Linked DNA regions of Cricetulus griseus. The protein of the gene in region 3 purifies or fractionates together with the protein of the main gene of each other region. This does not show direct contact. Links are inferred from orthologs where the notes say so. Each region holds a gene or a part of one and is shown on either strand. Other genes may lie near its edges.

Region 1 (6,152 bases), on a different chromosome or scaffold from region 3:
CCTTATTCAAGAACATGACAAGTAAAAAAGGCAATGTCCAGAAGTTTTCTTTGCTGCATAGTTTCTATGAGTGGGACCTTGGAAACAGGTCCATGTTCACCAGCAAAAGTTTAGGTATTGAGTAAATGCTGCATGAAGCACACCCAACACCACAGAGATTGAATTTTAGCAACATGGACACCTCTTCCCTGACAGATGTGGTATGTAGGTGTAGTATTTGCATAGAAACAGGCAAAGGAGACTGAGGAGGGGGCTTCTTCATAGCACAACTCTTCCTCAGAGCAGTTAAGGGCGAAGACCCAAGTTCTTTTGGGAGAAGTGAAACTGGCCTTTCCTGGGATCTACCACTATCCCATCTGCCCATAGCAATCCCACAGCTGTTGCCAGTAGTGATGCAAGGGCCACAGGCTGTACAGCATGTGGGCCCAGGCACCCTACTGGATCATTTATACAGCTGAAACAGTTGTCTCCCTTTGAGAAAAGGCCTGACTGAATGAGCTCCACACACTCAAAGATAGAGCCTTTGATCAATTTTTCATTGAGTTTACAAGCTCTCCCATAGTGAACAATGCCAGACTACCATGGAGCACAAAAAGGCACTGGTATCTGGGCTCCCTAGGGAAGGCATCACTTGTCAGCAGGGAGGAAAGAGCTCCAGCTTTGCCTCCTCCACCCTCGCTGTGCCCTGATGAAAACTGTCACATATAAGGACTCACCTGCTCCAACAGCAGTCAGAATGGCTTTCAAACTTGGACACTGGACACCAAACACATGAACACACATGCAGCCCTCCAGCCTTGTGTGTGACTATGGGCCTGGCAGACCTCCAGAAACCCTGAGTATAGTACCCAGTGTAGAAGGGCTAGGGATTTGCAGAGGTAAGGAGAAAGAATGTATCATAATGAAAACTCCATTTAAAGTACTTTTTTATTGATTTCATTGAAAACAGAACAAGAAATGGTCTGAGCCAAAAGACTGCTCTTAAAACTGTCAAAAAACATTTTAACAGAAAAAAATAAACATGACTGCATTATGAATGTTTTAGAAGAGTCACACACACAAAAAAAACCCCCACTGTCGCTGCACTAATTACAGTATTTAGAAAGGTATATGCCAAAAAAAAGTACATGACCTGCCAGGCCATCACACAAAAGGTGACGGCAAATTTATTCAACTACAAGACTAACATTTTAAAAAAGTTTTCCTGCACTTTATTCTAAAATCATTTTGTTCTCTTTTTACAGTTGATAGTTTATTTTCACGTGGTGAGTAGAAACCACACCAGATTCAGCACCGTTGTCTGTGTTTTGTGTTTTTATTCTTTGTTTGTCCTAATGTTCGGTAATGGTAGAAAACAAACAAGTTTATTCATCATCATAGCATGTGGCTTAAAAATCAACAAAAGGTGCCTGCGTCAACGGAACTGGCTGGGGCTGGTGCAGGGTCTGCCTGCATCACCAACCTGCTTCCTCGCAAAGAAACACCAGTAAGAGGCTTGATATATAGGGCTAGATATAGGATTTCTTTAAAAAGCGAACCCACATTTCATCAAAGTGAGTGGTGGGTCGGCCAACCTCTCCACGGCTGTAAGGGAGCTAGTGTCCTCGGATGGCACCTGGGAGTTGGTGCCAGCAACACAGGCTGTGGGCAGCAGGTCTAACGGAGCAGCTTGTAGGTGACGGTGGCCTTGGTGAGTGCCTTATAGTAGCCTGATCAGACAGTATACGAAACAAACCTGGCAGTGGAGCGAGGGCCTCAGAGACCAGGAGAAATGGGAAGCACTGCAGCGACAGAGCCACCACCAGGAACTCACAAGTTATACAACATGGAGTCAGGTCTCGAGGTGCAGGCCAGAGGAGTGCTCTGGCCTGAGCACTGGGCCAGCTGAAACGCCTCAGGACCAGAACATTCCCTGGGAGGTGTCCACACCTCCAGCTCCTCTTGGACATCTTGTGCAGATTTTCCTCTCTAAATTGCAGTCACCAAAATATGATTTGGAAGGTCCCGCCGGCCCCACCGGCAATTCATAGAGGGTCGGCAGCAGCTGCAGAGCTGGTATCTGGAAGGCCATTCTCATGAGCCTCCTGGGCTGCACTGGCTTGCCGCTGGGCCAGGGCTGCGCTTGAGTGCCGACACTTGGGAGACCCACACCGGCAACTGAAAAGCTTGCCCTTGACGTCCCAAAAGCGTTCCCCGTAGTCGAACCTGAGGAAGTAGAACTCAGTACTTCTGTGTGTTGCACACAGGGGTTGGTAGGATATCCAAGTGCCCCAAGCTAACCCATCGAGGCCCAGAACCCTTCATGTTTGAAGCACATGCATGGCTAGGAATGCAGCAACCCTACCCACCCAGCCAGGGTCACACTGTGCCTGGGTCTGTACTTACCCCAGCTGCTCCCCAGCCTGGATCAGGCGAGTACTGAAGAAGGCGATCCTGGGAAACCGCAGGTCCTGGTGTGACATGAACACGCGCACAGGCACAAGGTTGGGCTCGCAGTGGTGGTTTATGAACCGGCTAACATTCCCATAGAACCGAGCATCAATGCAGTATACCTCTCCATCCTTTGGGGGAGAAAGTGAGAGTCCATGATATGTTGCAGCCAGTAAGCAATCCAGGACATGTCCTTACCCTAGAAACCAGCACTGTAGTCGTGAAAATCTGGAGCTTAGTCGTGGCTCTGCTGGGACTGAAGAACTTGCTTCTGTGGTCCAGTGACAACTCAGGCTCAGCAAAGCAGACTTCTGCCATAGGTCGTGCTACACTAAATCCTGTAGTATCAGAGGTAGGAGCACCATGCTAACCAGGGACACAGAGGTGTAGCTACACAGAGGAGTACAGGTTTCTAAGTGTCCCTGTCCCACAGCTCTGCCCAGATTCTGTGGTTGTTTCCCAGCAGACAGGGACTGTGGGATCAAGACACGCTGAGTGTGCTGTGCTAACTCTTGAGCCGTTTAAACAATTGTCTCACAGAGCTCCTATGTCTGAGAAACTGATGTGGTATGATGCCTACTTCATGGCAAAGGAGGTCTTTGCTGCAGAGGGCATGCCTGACATGCAGAAAAGACCTGGAAACTGTTGTACATAATTCCAAGGAGCTGCCCAGGATGAAATGGGCAGGTCTGGGACTGGCCACACTGGACATCCAGAACTGTGGTTACAGGCCATCCTAAGTTGTGGTGCTTGGGTAATACTGTTACATAGCCACAGAATATTAGCGAGGAGAGTTAGGGAGGAAAGCCAGGTATGCTGGGATAACTCTGTGAAGAAAAGGCCCAAACAAGAGCCTGCTCCAGACAACCTGGGCTTGCCCTATGAACACACTCAGAATTCAGGCAAAGGTCGAAACACAAACCAGTAATGGGAATGCCTGGGTCTGAGATGGGTATCTGACAACCTTCACTTTGTAACTTCAGGACCTGCAGGAAATAGAGTGGTGGATAGGGACAAACAACCAGATCAAAGACAGAGCAACCTATGTCCTATATCTGCCATAAAGACAATAATGGAAGACTCCTGTGACTCTGCAATGTGGTGATTGCCTAGGAAGCTATATAATGCAAGCCTCTAAAGAAAACAACCCTAAAAGCAGGCAGTACACATGCTAAAGGTACTAAGAGATGGAGAGTCCACAGGCAAAGAATCCTTGGGATTCTGGGGTGGGAGCCAGTCTACACACTGAAACCTCTGGCTGACCTGGCCCATATTGAAAGAAGATCAAGCTGACTGTAAGAAACAGACAATTGGATAGAGACCAGAACTGTACATCAATAGCAGAGCCTAAATCTGAAACTAGGCTTTTAAAAAAAAAATCAGAAAACATGCCCACTTTGAGGGGCAGGGGGAACAGTTAACATTTAAGCATACAAATGAGTACCAGGTATGGTGGTGCATGCCTTTGATTCTACCAATGCAAAGGCAGTCATATCTCTGAGTTCAAGGCCAGCCTGGTTTACTGAGTTCCAGCACAGCTAGAGCTACACAGAGTAACACTATCTTGAATGCCCACCCCCTAATAATAAAAATGAGCCAGGCATGGTGGCACACACCCAGGAAGCAGAGAGAGACCATTGAGTTTGAGGCCAGCCTGATCTAAATAGTCAATTGTCCTAAATAGCGATTGTCCTAAACAGGACAACCAGAGCTACATAGTGAGATCCTGTCTCAAAATAAATAGGGGCTGAAGAGATGGCTCAAAGGTTAAGAGCACTGACTGTTCCTCTAGAGGTCCTGAGTTCAATTCCCAGCAACCACATAGTGGCTCACAACCATCTATAATGAGATCTAGTGCCCTGTTCTGGTGTGCAGACACTGTGACTGTGTACATAAAATCTTTAAAAATAAATAAGTAAAGATTAAGAAGTCTAGCCTGAGACAAACCAAATGCTACATGGGGGAAGGCATTACAGGAAATGCTTATGTTCTTCTTTCTATACAGCATAAAACAGCAACATTTCAGAATACAATCACTACAGAGGAGTGTAAAGTATGGGCAAAGGAAAGGAAGTAATAAAGAATCAAGTGGGATTCTAATGAGGTTCTACTGACTATGTAACCTTCCTCTGCAAAAAGGAGCAAGACCCATAGGCAGGCGAACTCACTGAGATGCCAACTGCAAAAGTAGCAAAGATGAAATCAACCTTGATGCCCCAAAAGACTAAGAGAGACCCTGTGCTGATGACTTCTGTACTATACTGGCAAGAGAGAGGCAGGGTACAGAAACTACGCCACTTTCTGCATAAACAACAAAGAAATAAGTTCCTTTATTTCTACAAATGGTCTCCTGTTGGGGAACAGGGGGAAGAGTATCATGACTAAAGTGTCAATCCCTCTTTAAAGCCAATTATTTGAAATCCTCACCTCACAGTGACAATCAGTAGGGCTGAGAGATGGGGCATTAGGGTGGTGACCACAGCTGAGGGCAAAGCCTGTGTGGAATGAGTGCACTCACAAGAGAGACTCCAGAGAGCTCCTACTCACAAGGACACAGTGCAAAGGCACTGGCTATGAACCAAGAGATGGCCTTCACCAACATGAGAGCTGTGAGGAACAGGGTATGTGGGTGTCAGTGTTTGTGACAGCAGCCAGAGAAAAATCCAATATCCATTAACAGAACACAGAACATGCAAAGAAGCACAACATCCCTGAGAAGACTTTAATATGGTTTCTACTTTTAGAACACACAAGTCTTTTGCATAATGAAAAGTCTGATAAAATGCCTAGCTAGCATGTATGAAATCCTGGTTCAGTCTTCCAGCACCACAGCACAAACAAAAAAGTCATTTTATTTTGGGGAGTTATTATGTTTAAGGTAAAGAAAGGCACCTGCCACCAATCCTAACAACCTGAGTTTGATCTGTAAGACCCACATGGTGGAGGGAAGAACCAACTCTTGCAGTTGTCCTCTGACCTCCAAATGCCATGAACGTAACAGTTTTAAAAATATATTTTGAGAGAATATTTTACTATGTGAGCCCAGACTGCCTTCAGCACAGGTGCTGAGATGGTACAGACACATGTGTTGCCATGCCTGACAAAAACACATATTCTTCAATTTCCAAATCTGAATTAACTAAAACATTAACATAGCTGCACATCAAACTGGTAATACAACTGCAAAAAGACAATTACAATACTTCAAGTCCTCCGATGAATATATCCTAAGGACCAAGTAACTGCAGAGAGCAGGACACACTTCCAGCAACTATGCTATATGTGTGGTCCTAACATCAGCAAGGCTACTCTTTCAGGAACCAAGAGTCTATCTATAGGTTAAGGTCAGGTCAGCTCTCAACCTGAGCAGAGAAGTGAACCACCTATGGCCACGTGTCTCACTGGACTTCAACTATGACTCCATACTTAAATACAAGTTTCAGCATCTTGGCTCGGTATGGAAGCACTTTTAATCTTAGCCCTTAGAAGGCAGAGAAGAATTTATGAGTTCTAAGCCAGCCTGGTCTACATAGTGAGTTCTAGGCCAGACAAGGCTAAGGATTGAGACCTAGTCTCAAAAAGGGGGAAGGGCCACAGTGGTTATGAGCACTGGATGCTCTTCTAGGGGACCTCGGGTGATTCCTAAGTCCCATGTGGCAGTTTACAACTGAAATCTACTCCAGTACCAAGGGATCTGGAGCCCTCTTCTGATCTCTGAAGGC
Region 2 (6,152 bases), on a different chromosome or scaffold from region 3:
TGAAATTTTGATTTAGCTGCCAAGGTAAGCAGAACTGCCTGGTAGTAAAATGGGCTGCAAAACAAATAGGCCAGGTTACATCTCATCAATTATTTACATGGCTTCTGGCAAGTTATTAACCTTTGATATCACCATTCTTTTCTGATAAAGTTGCAGTCACTTTCATGAGGTCATTGTGAAAATTAAATTAAGTAATATGGAGCTGAAGAGATGGCTCAGCACTTAAAGCACTTGCTGCCCAAGCAAGAAGACAGGGTCCCCAAAACCCACATAAATGCTGGGTGGACATGGTGGTCCACCAATAATTCCATCCTCACAAGAAAGACAAAGGATGCTGGGAGCAAGCTGGCTATCAAAACTAGCAATATCTCTGAATATCAATATGACTGAGGGAGCTTGCTTCAAAGAATAAGGTAGAAGAATGATTGGGGAAGGTGCTTGACTTCAACCTCAGGCTTCCATAGCTTCTACACACAAGTGCATGGGTACCAATACACATGTAAACATACACAGATTTACACAATGCACATATGATGAAGAAAAATAGTAACTTGTTAACTAGTACATGTAACATATTACATAACTGTTAGCTATGCATTCAAATAAACTCCAATCACCAGCATCAGCAATAGTACCAGCACATGAGTGCAGAAATGTGTGCAAGAGCTGCTGTACCTCTCATCCATGTTCCGAGGAGACTGACTACCATGGTTGCTATTTCCAATGAAATTCCGGATCTCTGTGAAGTAAGCATCTTCTTTGTCATCCAGGATTGCACCTGTGCTTTCTAGTTCTGAATGAGGTGAAGATGTTGCTGTACCTGGGTGGGAAAGAAAGCCTTTGTGAGAAGATCATTGTTCATTCCTTATCACTTCCTTCCTTATAAACCAGAGGAGTGCTATGTCTCAAAACTTGCCCTTTGCAATGGGAATACAAGCAACTCCAAATTGTAGTGCAAGCTCATGAGTCTGGACACCAAGACCAAGAATCACAGACTATCAAGGTTGTCATTTCTTTCAACCTGCTTGTTCTTATCTTTCTGGAGCATGGGAGTATTTTCATTCATATAAGAAGACAGGGTAAGAAATTATAGAAATCTTATTTACGGACTCACACCTAGCATTTTATACCTTCATTTGTTACAAGGGGTTGTGAGCAGACTCAGAAACAACCCAGAGGCTGGTTTAGCATGAAGAGGCCAATAAAGGATCTGCCTTCTATAAGATGGTCTTCAGCTTCCTTGCAAATTAAAGTCATGATACCTGTGTCATAGAACTGCTATATTGGTTTACATAAATTCACACCATTGTAAGTACTTAATATATTGCCACATCTTATGTAAACACAGGCTTTATACTACTTAGGTATTCCCACAATATATCTACAATTTAATAGTTCATTATTACCATCCATATAGCAAAAACATGGAGCTAGTACTTTCCCATCTTAATGAAATTATCTGGTTAAAAATAAGCATTCAACTTTGACAAATTTATTTTTCCCGATATTGGGAATCAAATTCAAAAACCAGTACATGCCAAGTAACTGCTCTACCACTGAACTATATTCTTGGACCCCCAACTAGATGTATTTTCTAACTTTCTATTTTTCTGAAATAATATTGATTACATAATATAGGATATTTGGCACATAGAATATTTTCTATGCTTTCATCATTGGACTAAACTTCTAGGCTTAAAATCCAACACTTAAAAACCAGGATTGGATTTTTGGGATTGAGGAAGATGAATAGTGTACATGTTACCATTCAAGATCACACACAATGCTGCTTACAGCCAAAAAAAGGATCAACAAAGTAATTTATTCAAGAAAAATGATTTGGCTTTCCAGATCTGTTTCCTTTTCCTTCTCTGAAGTCCCCTTCCTTGAACTCAGTACTTGCCCACCATCATCCTAATTGTACAGGTTATCTCTGTACATATACCCCAGCAGACAAATTCAGTTCTTGGTTGGTCGTCGAACTTTCAAAAGCAAAGAAAAGATATAGAATCCCTTCTATTAAGTACATGTTGTCAGGTTTGCCATCAAGGAAGTCTGGGGACTGGGATGAGGTTGTCATCTATTTGATTTTATTAGATAACATTTAGGGATGGAACCACAAGATCTGTGCATCCTTTGTAAGCTGCTCTGATCATGTTCACTTCCAATCCCTAGTCTTATATAAAGTTATACCTGAGACCATGATTTCTAGGTTAATAGTCAGGGATTTGCCACTCTTAGAATACATATTCTGTGAATAGATGGAAAGAGAATTCTTTGCAATTTAGGAAATTCTGACTCATATCTGTGCAGTCTAGGTCATGGCTGTCTCTGCTTGAGATTGCCTGTTGAGATAAATCCAGCTGGATGGAAATCTAACCTAAACAAGACCACAGAGTCTCACATTCTCATTCATTAGTGATTGCCTCATTCACATGGTTCTCAAACTCAAGGGAGATGTGGTATGAACTTCCAGAGTACTATCAGATTTTAGTGTTGAAATGGGATGGAAGACGAAAGAGCACGATTATATGCCAAAATACAAAACACAAGCCATTTTTCCCCCCATAGCACCACTGAGGACCCACCAGACATGTTTCCATTCTCATGTTTCTTTAGGTGTCTGTCAAGATTGGTTTGTTGACCAAAACATCTATCACATAAGTGACACTTAAATGGTTTCTCCTTGTTGTGGATGTTGCGGACATGTCGCTGCAGATTGGAGGAAATGCTGAATGATCTATCACAGTATTTGCATCTGGAAAGTAAATACAGACACAGTATCACAAACACATTAGAAGATATTTCCTAAGACTTGTGGACCTGAACATTAAAATAACACTTCACATAGGAAAACACTATTCGTATAGGAATACTGCAATTCCAGTAGTTTTGTTTCGTTTTGTTTGGGGGTGGTTTCACCGCTCTCTAATTTATTAGAATACTGAGTTCCAATGCTTTAAATAAATCTCACTAAAACTAAATATATCACAAAGTGATAGCATTGTCTTACATTCTGCTTAATACAACACAATTGAATATTTGCAAGTGTATATTAAAAGTCTAACCAATTTCTTAGCACATTTACCTCTCCTGATGGCAACTATAAAGAAAATTCCATCATTTTTTCCTTAGTGGTACAAAATACTCCAATTTTTAAAAACTGAGGCAATGTAAAAAAATGTGTTTGGTGCTGAAGAGAGTGGTTTTTTCTTAACCTATAGTGACTGGGAATCCCAGAGTCTCACTTAATAATCAAACTGTTACAAAAGCAAGTTCTGACACTATTAAGTCCTCATGGAAGAAAACAAAGGTCTTCACTAACTGCCTGCTCTCAACTTCCCCCAGTTTTTCATTCTGATGTCTATTAAAAAGCTGACTGCAACTCTGAAGGTCAGTTTCCTTAGAAATGGCTCATTGTGCATTAGGTAAGTGTTTCTGATTTGATACAATTAAAAACCCTAAGTTATCTAAAATTTTTCCTTTATTCATAAAATGAAAATGTAAAACTTGGAGACCAGGCTACCCCAGCTCTTTTCTGAGAATGGGAGTGGTTTTGTAATTAATGGAGTTATTTCACAGCACTTGAAGGAGACTATCATATTTTTGAGGTGTGTGTGTGTGTGTGTGTGTGTGTGTGTGTGTGTGTGTGTGTACATGATATGTTAAAAGAAAATAACCTGACTTTTCTGAATTGCTTCTAGGTAAAACTGTTCAACTTCAAAGCCAGAAAATCCTTCAGTTGTACTTCCATGCGTGATGGGTCCTTCTCCTGCCCTGAGTCTCAATACAGATTTTAGCTCAAGTGCTCTACATTAGAAGTCACCCCATTCATCCAAATCCAAGTATTCGGCCCTTCCTGCTTCCGTTGTGATGTCAGAAATCTAGTCAGGTCAGTGGAAATTAAAATCTGTCGAACTAGTTACTTTGGCATGGTATCAATGAGTCAACTCGAGAGTCCTTGATTGGAAGGGACAACTTCTGCATCATAATGTTCTTTAACATTTCTGGCTGATAATAGTAATAAAAAGGAGTGAAATCCACTGTGACAAGGGTTATTCCATTTTGTTGTCATCATAGAAAAAATGCTTATGGAATAATGGCTTTCCCTGCAATACTTTTATCTCAAAGGCACAGTGCAGAGAGAAATCTTGTGCGCTTAGCACAACCATGTTATACTAAGTAAAGCACATTCAAGAGCCTGGCAGAGAAAATGCAAAGGCTAATAAAGGTCTGAAATGTTCTGCTCATGACACAGACTACATGAATCACAATGGAGAAAGAGTTAGAGTTTCACATGCCCCCATGCTTCTTTTGTGTGAAAGGTCTTTTCCAAATCTACTCCATCATCATCTCAGCTTTAGAAAGAGTTGACCAATAAAGATCAGTGTCTCCCCACGATCAGCTAGCATTTTGATTCTCTTTCTTGTAAGCATATTGAATAGAGAGGCAAGTACGCTAAATTTTAAAGTAACTTTATTCTATTCCAATATATTATCTGGTATTTAAATGACAGCTCAAATCAAGGTTCAAGAATTTTTAAGATGCATGCATAACCTAATTGTAACCCTTCATAACAACATGAAGACATAGGAGACAAAAAAGCTTTGAAATCTGATGTGAGGTGAAAGATCCAAAGTGAAAAGTCCAGCCTGGGCACTAAACTTCATAGAAAGCAGTTAGCATCTAAAGATCTGATTTCTTATTTTTCTCCATTTGTAAAATAGAAGATCTGGGCAAATCAAGATTCCCAGCAATGCAAATACCAGCTTGTATACTTTTAAATACATGTACAGCAACAGCAATATGTATGAAGCAGAATAAGGGTGTTTCATTCAGCACCAAATTGAAGGACCATGATGTCATAGCTGTAGACTGGGACAACATTCAGCTGTAAGAAAATGTGAATATGGAAACCTTTCCATTTAAGCAAAATTCCTAGGTGATAGAATATTCTCCAAGGGGGAATTTACCTAATGTTTTCCATCATTCTATCTCTTAAAGATCTGTTATGTAAAGTTCATCTCGTCACATATAAAGTGAAGTGACATTTATGAGTAGAAACAAAGGGACTTAAGAAAACGCTAATTTTCTGAGTTTCTCCCAAAACTATTATTTTTTGAATAATCATAGGTCTTTCCATGTTTTCATTCGCTCCCCTTTTAAGATGCACATTTTTCATTATATGTAATATGGGAGGGTGGATATGTACATGTGAGTAAAAGTGGCTGGGGAGTCCTGAGGCATCAAATCCCTCTGAAATGAAATTACAGGAATTGTGAACTGTCTTACAGCAAGCTGCTGAGCCATCTCCCCTATTTTGCTTACAAACAACTTTGAAACAAGATAATTTATTGTAAGGAAAATAATAGTGTTCAGGCCAAAACAATTATACTAATACACACTTAAGAATTTCAGAGGAGAAACAAACTATAATGTTGCTTGAGATAAATTCACTCTTGGAGAAAGCCTAACTTGGATTCTAATGCTGAGGGCAAAGTATTACACTTAAATAATAAGTTACATTTTAAAAGTAGCCATGTTCATAATTTCATTGTGTTGTAAGCACAGCTATTGCAGTCATATATGGCCTGTGTGTCACGTGGTTAATTTTAGTATTTAACAGAATAAGAGGCTATTTATAGAATTGGCCCCCTTTCCTAGAATACACTATCTATGGAATCTCTACATCTATACTTTTTTTTCCTCTTCTGAAGTTTGAAATGTTTGTTTATTAAACCTCCTGTTGGGATCTGTGGATGATGACTTAATTGTACTAAGGAAGCAGATATATTTGGATGTTACCTCCAGGCAGACTCAAGGCTTAGATGAGAGGAACTTCAGTGTTATGATTTTTGTCAATTAAAATGATAGTCATTATTGAGAAGAGAACACTAAAGTAAAAACATTTTTTAAGGTTGCTAACATCTTTTAAACATGTATATACTACTAGAAATTACCCCAGATGTCTTAGACTGAAAACTAAAAGTCTCATTTGATGAAGAAAAGACATTCCTAATTTTGGTTCTAGCAGACAGGTCTTTCTATTTTGATGCAAAATTTGATTTACATCTAAATATGCACCAAACTATTTCTCATTACACTGTGACCTCATGGCCATTGAATATGACAATATTTATCAAGATATTTAG
Region 3 (6,152 bases):
AAGCCCTAAAAATAGTTTTTCTTAAATCATGGCAAAAGGAAATCTTTTTTGTTGTTTGTTCAAGACAGGTTTTCTCTCTTTTTTTGAGGGGGGATTGAGACAGGGTTTTTCTGTGGCTTTGGAGGCTGTCCTGGAACTCTGTAGACCAGGCTGGTCTCAAACTCGGAGATCCTCCAATCTCTGCCTCCCAAATGCTGGGATTAAAGGCGTGTGCCACCAAAGGTTTTCTCTTTTTGGGTTTGGCTATCCTGGAACTTGCTCTATAGACCAGGTTGGCCTGGAACTCAGATCTGCTGCTTTTCTCTGCCTCCTGAGTGCTGGCAGCTCCACCAACCGGCACAAAGGGAGATCTTCAAAGTGGGATTGATATTCACTGAGGATATTTAACGTAGAAAATTCAGGCTTTTGCTGTAGATATGTGTGCTGTTAATGTGTTTGATTATGGATGGCTTGATGTCCCAGACTTTGCTGTTAATGTGTCTAAAAATTACATTTTTTTTTTTGGTTTTTCGAGATAGGGTTTTTCTTTAGCCTTTTGGAACCTGTTCTGGAACTTGCCCTGTAGATCAAGCTGGCCTCAAACTCACAGAGATCCACCTGTCTCTGTCTCCGGAGTGCTGGGATTAAAGACGTGCACCCCCGCCGCCGGGTCTAAAATTACATTTTTTAAAAATCCCCATTTTTTTAAAATTCCGAAATACACAGGAGTTTCAGCTAAGTGATTGAAGACCAGGCTTCAGAGTTAACACCTCTGTTTGGTACCCTGGGGATTTTCATCCTCCCCCCACACACCTTTAGGGCATGCACCCTATGGAGCTAGGAAGCTGTTGTCTTTCTTTTGCAAAGTGGATAGAGAGGTGATTAGGTCTTGAACTTGAAGCAAGTCTGCAGGCAGTTTAAGTTCTGGGAGTGTTTAGATCCCTTTACATGCAGTCCATGCCACAAGATCCATTTACAGCCTTGCTGTTCCAGGGTTAGGGGGCAGGCTTTGGATTAGAAGATTGGATGGGTCCTCTCTCATAGGAGAACTGGACTCTTTGGTGTCAGGGAAAGAAGGGTGTGGTGACTGCATTGTGGGCAGGCTCCTCTCCAGGAGTTTCCCTGGGTATTAGGCTTCAAGGAATTGACATGGTCCTGTTGTAGAGGGTCTTAGCTTTGGTTAAGGCCTGATTAAATTTTGTGTGATTCCTAGGCCTTCTCATTCCAGGCTGCAGAGTATGTTGCAAATCATCCTGGAATCAGCTTCAGGATCTGTGCCGACTGGCCAAGCTTTCTTGTCCCGCCCTTGGCGTTTCTAAGAAGAATCTTTATGACTTTGAAGTCGAGTACCTGTGTGATTATAAGAAGATCCGTGTAAGTCTGGTGGGGATGTGTGAGACTGCCCTGGCAGGGGACCCTCTTCCCCACCCAACCCCCACATCTCTTTACAAAGAGGATTTTCACCTGGGGTAAAATGGGATGAATTGACTGTCTTATTTCCATTTTACAGGCAAGGAAATCAAGTAGCTTTCTCAGAAATATAGGCAGAATGAATCCTCAAAGAATGTCTTTTCCACTTGTACTTGCGGGATACAAAGATTGAGATTCTGAACCTAGGAGTGAAAGTAAAGATGACAATACTTAGTATGCACACTAGAAACTTTTTAAACTCTGATAATGCAAGATGATACAGTAACTGTTAACTGCCAGAAAAGGTTATGCGGTATTAGAGCCCACTGAAAGCAACTTGGTTAGTTGAAATGTAGTCTTCATTTTCCCTGTCTGTAAAATGGGGAGGACTGGAGTTGTAAGAATTCTAGGGTGTGTCAGTTGCTCAGGAAAATACCTGCTACATAGCGAGTGCTACAAAAAAATATTAACTGTTTTTCCTTTTCTCTTTTTCTTTATTTTTAGACAGGGTTTTGCTATGTTGTAAAGACTGTTCCTAAACGCAGAATCCTTCTGCCTCAGTTTACTGATGGCATTATAGATATGTGTATATTTTATGTATATAATCCTCCTCCCACTTATATATTTTCTTCTTTACAGATGAGGTAACAGACATGGCATGCTTTATTTGCCTAAGGCAACATAGCCAGGAAGCTACAGATTGCCATTTTAAACTCTGTCCTATGGCTGACTCCCAGCAATTAAAGCTCCCCCTCCCCTGGCACTGTGCAGAAAACTGAAACAGTGAGGGTAAAAACAGGGGGATCAGTAGAGGCACCTACCAGAGGACTGACTGGCTGCAGTGGCAATGTTTTAATGCAGTAAAGGGGTCAGATTCTGAGTGTATTTATTGGGGAGTGTGAGCAAAAGAGGAACCAAGAATAACTACAGGGTTTTGGGCCTGAACAGATCATTGGAATATAGAGGAGGAAGTGGTCTTGGGGGGTTGAAAAGTAGGAATTTCAACAGATAATAAGAGGGTGAGTGGAAGTTGGATTTAGTAATTTTTACTCCAGAGGCACTGCATGGAACCATTCTAGAGTAGTGTGGGGTGGGGTGAATGTTCTCTGTTGCCACAAGGGTCTCAAATTTATGGTACCCTTCTGTCCCTGTCCTCTTAACAGGAGCAAGAGTACTACCTGGTTAAGTGGCGTGGATATCCCGACTCAGAAAACACTTGGGAGCCACGGCAGAATCTCAAGTGTGTGCGCATTCTCAAGCAGTTCCACAAGGACTTAGAAAGAGAGCTTCTCCGGCGGCACCGCCGGTCAAAGCCACCCAGGCATCTGGACCCAAACTTAGCTAACTACCTGGTGCAGAAGGCCAAGCAGAGGCGGGCACTGCAGCGCTGGGAGCAAGAGCTCAATGCCAAGCGCAGCCACCTGGGACGCATCACTGTGGAGAATGAGGTAGACCTGGATGGCCCTCCACGGTCCTTTGTCTATATCAATGAGTATCGTGTTGGTGAGGGCATCACCCTCAACCAGGTGGCTGTTGGCTGTGAGTGCCAGGACTGTCTGTTGGCACCCACTGGAGGCTGTTGCCCTGGAGCATCCCTGCACAAGTTTGCCTACAATGACCAAGGCCAAGTGCGGCTGAAAGCTGGTCAGCCCATCTACGAGTGTAACTCCCGATGTTGCTGTGGCTATGATTGCCCTAACCGTGTAGTCCAGAAAGGCATCCGCTACGACCTCTGCATCTTCCGTACTAATGATGGGCGAGGCTGGGGTGTCCGCACGCTGGAAAAGATCCGCAAAAATAGCTTTGTTATGGAGTATGTGGGAGAGGTGAGGAGATGGGTCTGGGTATGTGTGCAGCTTTTCCCACTATGTGTTTGTAGTGTTTGTGCCTAAACCATGTTCCTAAAACTCTGTTTTCCTTGTGAGAAAAGTCTAAGGTGTTGGTCTGAGTGTCATAGGAACATCATAGCAGGGGTCAGCAATTTTACTTGATACATCAGCAGGACCATGCTGGTAGTTAAAAGAACACTGAAGTACTTCTCACCTCAACTGGCTTCATGAGGGCATACAGCAAAGAAAGTGGGACCCGAGCTTCAGGTGGCAAACCTTTCCAAAGCTATGCGGTCTGGGCATAGGGTTGCATCACCTGAAAAGGCAAGTTCTCTCCTCATTTTGAGATAGGGTCATTGTATCACAAACAGTAAATCTAAAGTAGCATGTAGGCTCAACTTGGATGGAGGTTTGGCAAGATCCTCTAGACCAGTGGTTCTCAACCTGTGGGTTGCAACCCCTGGGGTTTTCACAGGGGTCACCTAAGATCATCAGAAAACAGATATTTATATTACAATTCATTTACATTACAATTCATAACAGTGGCAAAATGACAAGTAGCAATGAAAATAATTTTATGGTTGGGGGGTCACCACAGCATGAGGAATGGTATTAAAAGGTAGCAGTAGTACAAAGGTTGAGAAGCACTGAACTAGATTTTTAGGTTACCCTGGGGAAAAGCTGGATGGCACATGATGCAGGCTAGCTTTTTTAAAATCAATAATCCCCAGATCTTTGTAACTTAACACATTAGGAGTTAGTATACATTGTTTTTAGGCAGAATCTCCCTCTGTAGCATAGGTTGGCTTTGAGCTCACAGTCCTCCAGTGCTAGGATTACAAGCATGTGCCACCATGCCTTGTCTAGGTTTACCTGGTTTGTAAACACCCTAGTATATGTGTTTTGGTGGATCTCCTGTTCACATACTGACTTCTGCCCCTAGGATTTTATCCCCCTTTTGTGCCTTTCTTGTACCTTAGGGCCTTCAGGTCACTGTCACATCCTCAACATTTTTTTTTGGTTTTTTTTTTTGGTTTTTTTTTTGAGACAGGGTTTCTCTGTGTAGCTTTGGAGGCTGTCCTGGAACTCACTTTGTAGACCAGGCTGGCCTCGAACTCACAGAGATCCACCTGCCTCTGCCTCCAGAGTGCTGGGATTAAAGGTGTGTGTCACCAACGCCTGGCTGCCCAGCATGTTCTTTGTGTAGACAAATCTCACTGTTTGAGAGATTTAGCTTCCCTGGATCTTGATTGTTTAAATGTGTGTTTTGTCATGATATAGTCTATGTATTTTCATAGATTCCCTCTAGATGTTATTTGCTTGGAAAGTGACAGTAACTGGCCAGAGGGCACATCAGAGGATGTCCACTTGTAGCAGCAACACTGGTGACTAGGAGAGGCTTCTGCTCTTTTTTTCTCTTTTGGTTTTTTGAGACAGGGTTTCTCTGTGTATTTCAGGCTGGCCTCAACCTAGCCTGGCTCTGCCTCCCGAGTGCTGGGATTAAAGGTACTCCACCACTACCCTGCGAGCTTCCACTCTTATGACCTGAAGGAAGCTTGAGCTTGCCACACTCCAGAAGTGTCTTCACCTCAGAGTGATTTGGATAGTTTGGAATATAGACATCTTTCTAGAAGATCCCAATCAGGAAGCTAGTCAGTATAATTCTATTGCCCAAGGTAGAAGAAAAGCCCTCTATACACACAGGATCTTATAGGAAGCAGCACCTATACCCCACAGGAAGGCTCAATCTTTTGAATGTAGTGTTCTTGCCCCTTCACTATGGAAGTAGCAGGGCTTCCAGGAGTCCTCTCATCTCTTCCTTACCTTTCCCTCTGTCATCCATTCTTTCCATATTGTTTCTTGACCACTGTCTTGCCATGGTCTACCTGCTTAGATCCAGGCATTCTAGTACCCTCAGACCTGTGAATCCTTCTGATGGTGTTGGTCCCTCAAAGATTGCGAGGCAGTAAGTATAGTAGAGCCGATAGAAGCTGATCCTTGCCAGCCTGCCCGAGGTTGATCCCAGCCCTACCACTCAGCAGCAGTCACTTCATGTCCCTCTTGGTTTCCTAACCTGGAAAAGAGGAAAGGTTTTGGTAGTTCCTCCGTGTGAAGCACTTGGAAGAAGCACTTCAACAGTACTTGTTAGTGCTTTAGTCTAAAACTCAGACAATCCAAATTGCTCAAAAAGTAAAGGATGTTATTTTGCTTTTAATAACCTAATCTAATGTACTGTTTTTGTTCTGGGGTTGAATATTCATATATTTAATCAGAGAAATATTAATTTACTTAATTATGGGACTGTCTAGATGCTCCTGAGGTGTTATTATTGTAGCCCCACCCCCATAGAATGCAGGGCCTCCCTTATGCTAGGTAGTACTTTGCCATTGAGCCACATCCTAACCTGCAAGGTGCTATGTAATTAATTCAAAGTATCATTCTCAATCTTGGATGCCAATCTTTCAGGCCACTGACAGTTTGTAACAATAGCTCCTGCTCCTTTGGACCTTTCCTTGTTTGTTCCAGATTTTCATGTTTCCACAGATTATTTCTAGCCTCATCAGGCAGAGAATACATGCATTCTCTGTATTTTACCATCTCTGGAATGGAGGTGAGTTTTAATTGGTTAAATGGTAGTAATGAGCACATAAAGAAAGGGTGAACCTTAGATTTCAACAAGGTAATGGTACTCAACCAGTCATTACAAAACATTTCTTCACACACATGCACTTTTGTTTGTTTGGGTTTTTTTTCTTGGTTTGGTTTTTCGAGACAGGGTTTTTCTGTGTAGCTTTGTGGACCAGGCTGGCCTCCCGCCTGCCTCTGCCTCCCGAGTGCTGGGATTAAAGGTGTGTACCACCACTACTGAGCCTGCACTTGTGATTTTACAACAGCCCCTAAATTGAGACTTTGCTGCTGATGTTCCCAGTATAT
Region 4 (6,152 bases), on a different chromosome or scaffold from region 3:
ACAGGCATTCACCTGCATTGAACTTACTCCAGCCATTATCTAGGGAAGAACTACCATAGATACTAGTTTCAGAGAAATTTCTAGACCAATCAAAGGACAAAGACTTGACAATCCTATTTTAACTGGCAATGGCTTAACACTTACTCTTCCTAGTCCATCATGGTGGCATGTCCCTGTAATCTCAGCACAGAGTCTGGGGCAGGAGGATTTCAAGTTCAAGGCAAGCCTAGGCTAGAGTAAAACTGTCTCAAAACAATAAAAAAACAAAGATAATTACTTTTACTAACTTGAACTCTTCATTAAACTGTTTGAAAGTACTGCCATGTACTGCTTGATAATGTTCTGGCCAGAACATTATCTGGCCATTACCGAGTGATGCCGTGGTGCATGCCAGTCATAGAAACCTACTGTGCTGGCAGCACACAAAAATACAGCAAGTACAAGCATGTTCAGCAGGTGATGCTGCCTAGTGCTAACAAACACCACCCACTGTTTCTATTTAGAACAAGTCTACATTGTTACCACTAGTATTTTTAATAGAAAGAGGCAAGCTTACATTATGCTCAGTAACAGTAAACAGTAGAGGCCTTGCTGACCCCTGCTGGCTAATTTTGAAATTTAAAAATAAATTCTATAAATTCTTTCCTACCCTCAAACATGAACAGAATCCTGTTTTTGGGGCCGGCCTGATCTTTACTAAGAAGGTGGCAGAGAAGGAGGGAAATTCAATCCAATCACATCTCAGAATTTTTTTCTTTACTCAACAGAACTGAAATGTGATTCCTCTCCATAGTCTCTCCCACCTACCAAAAGAAAAAGAAAAAAAAAAAAAAAAAAAAATCAGAGATCTGAAAATCCTAAGGGCCCCTACCTGTAACTCATGAGTCCAGGTTTGTAGTCATGCCGAGGATCACTATCGAAGGACTATGTCATCTTAAAGATTCACACCTGGCGACTGGAATTTCGAAGGTGCAGCTCTTTTCCTCTGGCATAGAACAGATGGAGAAGGGAAGAAACAACCACACAGAGCCACTGGCAGACTCACCATTTCATCAGGAACATGAGTTCTCCACTGGAGTCAGTAGCTCCAATAATCCGTTCAGGCTCCAAACCCCTGGCAAAGCCTCGTGGCTTTTCTGACTGTAAAAACCAGAAGGACAGAACAATTTTATTGGCATAGGACTATATCCAGAATGAAGTTATTGCTGTGTTTCTAAGAAATGTAATCACAAACATTCACTAAAGGTTTCCTCTGCTTCCCACACCATGAGGTACCCCTGGCATGAATGGGACACACACCCCAAGCAAAAGAAATGTTCATGCTGTCTCTTCAAAGGTAAATTAATTAAGATACTAAGTAAGACAAAACAGCTACTTCAAATCTGTAATGATCAAAACACTGAAAGTGGGCTGGAGAGATGGCTCAGAGGTTAAGAGCACTGACTGCTCTTCCAGAGGTCCTGAGTTCAATTCTCAGCAACCACATGGTGGCTCACAACCATCTGTAATAAGATTTGGTGCCTCTTCTGGCCTGCAGGCACACATGCTGGCAGAACACTGTATACTTAATAAATCTAAAAAACAAACAAACAAACAAAAAACTAAAAGCAATCTATTGACAGCAATCTACTGACAGGAAACAAATTCAGTTGCTGTCATGTGTCTCCAGTAACTGTTACATCCTTTATGCCAGAAGAGGGCATCAGATCTCATTACAGAGCCACCATGTGGTTGCTGGGAATGGAACTCAGGACCTCTGGTAGAGCAGCTAGTCAGTGCTTTTTTTTTTTTGGATTTTCAAGACAGTGTTTCTCTGTGTAACAGTCCTGGCTGTCCTGGAACTCACAGAGATCCCCCTGCCTCTGCTTCCCAAGTGCTGGGACTAAAGGCATGTGCCACCAACACCCGGCTATCCCATCATTCTTGCACCATAGATAAAAAGATTAGATCACTTTACAGGAATAAGTCCCAAATCCTTTTTTTTTTTTTTTTTTTTTGGTTTTGTTATGTTTCAATGAGACAAGGTCTCCTGTAGTCAAGGTCTCTTATACCTGATCCTTCTGCTAGGATTACAGGTGTGCACATGGTTGACTTCCAAATCTTTTAAAAACATTAGTTTATTTCCGAAGGACAGAGGACATAACTGCTGAGATTCAGAGGAAGAAGTTCAAGTATCGTAGCTCATAATTGTAAGCCCAATACTTAAATCCTTGTCCTAAGTTTCTCACCTCTTCTTTCTTCTTCTTTGGTTTGCTTTCCTCTCCCTTATCATCAGAATCAGAATCGGCTTTGCGCTTGCCTCCCTCTGATTTATCTGTCTCATGGGCTGTTTTCTGTGATTGTAGAAACTCAGCAATAAGGTCAGGGCAATCCAGGTTCTCTTCTGGCTCCCATGTATTGTCCTCACTGAAACCAGCAATCACAGCAAGTTACACTTCCACTCAAGTCAACATTTGTAACTAAGAGAGGAGGTAGTCTTGGAAGAGAGTTAAATGATAAGGAACAGCTAGATTTTTGTTCAAAATTAAGAAGTTTCCTAGCAGGGGATGGTAAAGACCAAAGGCTTAGAAACTTGTCTTCTTCAAGGAAAAACTACTTTGCAGAGGTGGACTATCTTATACAAATTGCTCCTCAGAAATCACTGTTGTGGACTGGTGAGATAGCTCAATGGGAAAAAGGAGACATCTGGCAAGCCTGAAGACCTGACTTTCATCCCAGGACTTAAGGCCACACATGCCACATACACAAAACAAAATGCTGCCATATATCGCAGTATTCTGCATGTAGGTCCTTCCTCAGTAGACTATCAGCTGTGGAGGTCAGGACTGACCCCAGGTATACCCATCACAGAACAGGTATCAAGCATAAGGACTGAATTTACCTGTGCCAATGAAACTTACTCTGAGAAACCCTTCCACTTTAGAAGATATTCCACTTTGCCCTTGACAACTCGTCGATCAAGAACTTTTTCCACCACATATTCCTCTTCCTCTTCTTCTAGAACCTCCTCCACTTTCTTCTTGTTCTGTTTTTTCCCCATAGTACCCGCCAGCTTTCCGGTGTAAAGAGTGACGCTGCTAAAATGACAAAAGAAAATAAAAAGGGCATCAAGGCACATTTACTGGTCAGATAAATATCTGGATGGTAAGGGAAATCACAGATGATGTACACTGCTTATGTATAATGCTCTACTTATCTCCAGTTCACAACCACGTTTCCACGTTAGCTAGCAAGTTAGCTATATTTTTTTTTTTTTGGGGGGGGGGGTTGAGACAGGGTTTCCCTGTGGCTATGGAGGTTGTCCTGGAACTAGCTCTTGTAGACCAGGCTGGTCTTGAACTCACAGAGATCCGCCTCCTCTGTCTCCTGAGTGCTGGGATTAAAGGCCCATGCTGCTGCCTCCACTCGGCACGATTATTTTTTTAAAAGCACAATTATTATTTTAATTCATTTTTAAAAATGTGCATTGGTGTTTTGCCATGGGTGTCAAGTCCCCAGAAACTGGAGTTACAGACAGTTGTGAGCTACCATGTGGATGCTGGGTCCTCTGGAAGGGCAGTCAATGCTCTTAACTGCAGATCCATCTTTCTAACCCCTAGCCATGATTATTAATCTCACAGCAAATTTCTTTCCCTTTGGACAAGGACTTATTAAGAAGCCCAAGGTGTCCTCAGCTTTCTTTCCTTTTTTTTTTTTAAAGATTTATTTATTTATTTATTTATTTATTTACTTATTTGTTGTGCATGCAGTGTTCTGTCTGCATGTATGTCTGCAGGCCCGAAAAGGGCACCAGATCTCTACAGATGGTTGTGACCTATGTGGTTGCTGGGAATTGAACTCAGGACCTCTGGAAGAGCAGCCAGTGCTCTTAACCTCTGAGCCATCTCTCCAGTCCTGTCCTCAGCTTTCTATGTGATGGAATTATAGGTGATACTACAATGTGTGGGTCGAACTCACAGAGATCTTCCTGCCTCTGTCTCCCGAGTGCTGGGAGTAAAGGCATGTGCCACCACCACCGCCCAGCCTTCACAGTCTCATATAGCTCAGGATGGCTTTGAATCCCTGATCTGGTCTCTATCTTTTAAGTAATGGGATCATAGATGTATGCTACCATGTCCAGCTAAAAAGTCCCTTTATTTTTCACTTTGCTTTTCTTGAATGACATCATAAATTCACAGCTCAAACTTTAAAAATTCTTTTACTGCATTTACTCATGTAGTCTAAGTTTGGGTGTCACGGAGGTCACGGGACAATTTGTGGGAGTCAGCTCCATGTGGGTCTCGGGCTTGGCTAAGCTACCTCACATGATGTAGCAGAGGATGAACTTGATCTTCTGACCCTCTTGTCTCTTCCCCCCAGTAGTGCTAAAAGACTGAACACAGGGCTTTGTATAATATACAAGGCAAGAGACTACTCTACCAACTGTGCTACAACTCCAGCCAACTCCCATTTTTCCCTTTGGTAGTACTAGGAATTAAACCTTGGGTTTCAAGAATGCTAGGTACTATGCTACAGCCCTTGCCCATAAATCACTATTATTTGACTTAGTTTACTTTATTTCTAAGCCTCAAGACTGCTTAGAAGAAGCACCAGATTAACTATTTAAGCTGGAGTACTGTAATAACTTAGAAAATGAGCAGGGGGAAAAGAGGAAGGTAGCCATCAGAGATGTAGTAAAGTTTGTCTTCTTTTGGGCAGGACAACTTTGTGCAGCTAGTTCTCTCCTTCCACCTTCCTATGGGTTCCACATAAACTCAAGGCCACCTGACTTTAGTACTCAAGGCCAAGTGCAGGTCCTGAGTTTATTCTTTTCTAAAACATGCTTCTGAATGGAGAGATGGCTCAGCAGTTGGGAGCACTGGCTGCTCTTCTAGAGGACCTGGGTTCAATTCTCAGCACCCACATGGCAGCTCTCAACCATAACTCCAGTTCCTTAGGATCGGACACTCTCACACAGACATACATGCAGGCAAAACACCAATGCACACGAAATAATTAAAAGCAATAACCACACAAGTCTAAAAAATGCTCCAACACACATCCACACATAGAATTATATATGGGTGAAACTTGTTCTTTCATGTTGGAAGTTGGTTTTGTTTGATGAAAACCCCAAATACGGCTGGGGATACAGGTCAGTTGGTGGAGAGCTTGTCTCACACAAATGAAGCCTTGCATTTGACCCCTAAAAACCGGGCATGGTGGCGCACGAATGCTTGTGATCCTAGCAGGAGAATCAAGGGGTTCAAGGTTTATCTTTGTCTACACAATACCCTAAATCAGAAAGTCCCTGAAATATTCTAGCATATAAACTTTAGTTCCCTGTAAACCTCTTACCTTTTAATCCATTCAGTTCTGATGTTCTAGCCCCCGCCCCCTTCTCTGTGTAGCCTTGGCTGTCCTGGAACTCACTCTGTAGACGAGGCTAGCCTCAAACTCACAGATATCTGCCTCTCCAGTGTTGGGATTAAAGGTGTGTACCACCACACCTCTGACAGGCCAGAGCTATATCCAGGTTCCCTAAACACTCTTGGGTAGCATACTATAAAGTGTTCAGAATACCTTGAATGGAGAAAGTGCCCAAAGCCTTAAAATTACCAACTTGTGTCGGCAGATGGCGCTGTAAATATACCAGTAAAACAAAATTGGCTAGAATCTTAGAAACGAACAATCAATTATCCAGAATGAGATACAAAGAATGGAGCATATGTGCCAGGTGTGGTGGCACAGGCCTGTAATTCCACATTTTGGGAGGTGGTGGCAGGGGAATTAGGAGTTTAAGGTCAACATGGACTAGATTGAGAGATCGTGTCTGGATTCCCTCACCTCCCCAAGGAAGGAGTATTGTTCTGGATTAATTTAATAGTCCAATCTGGATTAAACTGGTATTACCAGTGTCTGGACAAAAGTTTTAATATATGTAGAAACTCAAATTCTAGATACTATGCTGAATTCTAGAGACTCAAGAGAGTAAGAAATGGTCCCCACCCTTTTGAAGCTTAATATCAGAAAAAAAAAAAAACAAAACACTTTTTCCATTAGAGGTATTCTGCATACTTTATAGTATGTCATCTAAGAATGTTTTGGATAACTGGGGATACAGCTTAGTAGTATAATGCTTAGCTTGCATACATGATAAGTACCTAGGTGCA

What was found. The genes of interacting proteins can lie anywhere in the genome.
Region 1: the proteins of Suv39h1 (region 3) and Ehmt1 purify together in Homo sapiens (co-immunoprecipitation; 3 studies listed by BioGRID and IntAct, with this or other methods). This does not show direct contact. The link is inferred for Cricetulus griseus from reciprocal best matches to the Homo sapiens genes SUV39H1 and EHMT1.
Region 2: the proteins of Suv39h1 (region 3) and Mecom purify together in Homo sapiens (affinity purification with western blotting; 3 studies listed by BioGRID). This does not show direct contact. The link is inferred for Cricetulus griseus from reciprocal best matches to the Homo sapiens genes SUV39H1 and MECOM.
Region 4: the proteins of Suv39h1 (region 3) and Cbx1 purify together in Homo sapiens (affinity purification with mass spectrometry; 3 studies listed by BioGRID and IntAct, with this or other methods). This does not show direct contact. The link is inferred for Cricetulus griseus from reciprocal best matches to the Homo sapiens genes SUV39H1 and CBX1.

What each region holds. Positions count from the first base shown.
Region 1 is NC_048599.1:136,127,036-136,133,187, forward strand, and holds the end of Ehmt1 (histone-lysine N-methyltransferase EHMT1), read right to left. Parts: intron 2,562-6,152; coding exon 2,386-2,561; intron 2,206-2,385; coding exon 2,025-2,205; 3' UTR 910-2,024; downstream 1-909. UniProt on the Homo sapiens protein: Histone methyltransferase that specifically mono- and dimethylates 'Lys-9' of histone H3 (H3K9me1 and H3K9me2, respectively) in euchromatin.
Region 2 is NW_023276806.1:118,567,464-118,573,615, forward strand, and holds part of Mecom (histone-lysine N-methyltransferase MECOM), read right to left. Parts: intron 2,759-6,152; coding exon 2,589-2,758; intron 821-2,588; coding exon 676-820; intron 1-675.
Region 3 is NC_048604.1:114,534,866-114,541,017, reverse strand, and holds part of Suv39h1 (histone-lysine N-methyltransferase SUV39H1), read left to right. Parts: intron 1-199; exon of another isoform or gene 200-1,192; coding exon 1,193-1,353; intron 1,354-1,443; exon of another isoform or gene 1,444-1,592; intron 1,593-2,552; coding exon 2,553-3,215; intron 3,216-3,432; exon of another isoform or gene 3,433-6,152. UniProt on the Homo sapiens protein: Histone methyltransferase that specifically trimethylates 'Lys-9' of histone H3 using monomethylated H3 'Lys-9' as substrate. Also weakly methylates histone H1 (in vitro).
Region 4 is NC_048600.1:109,949,636-109,955,787, reverse strand, and holds part of Cbx1 (chromobox protein homolog 1), read right to left. Parts: intron 3,078-6,152; 5' UTR 3,041-3,077; coding exon 2,901-3,040; intron 2,407-2,900; coding exon 2,229-2,406; intron 1,141-2,228; coding exon 1,046-1,140; intron 1-1,045. UniProt on the Homo sapiens protein: Component of heterochromatin. Recognizes and binds histone H3 tails methylated at 'Lys-9', leading to epigenetic repression. Interaction with lamin B receptor (LBR) can contribute to the association of the heterochromatin with the inner nuclear membrane.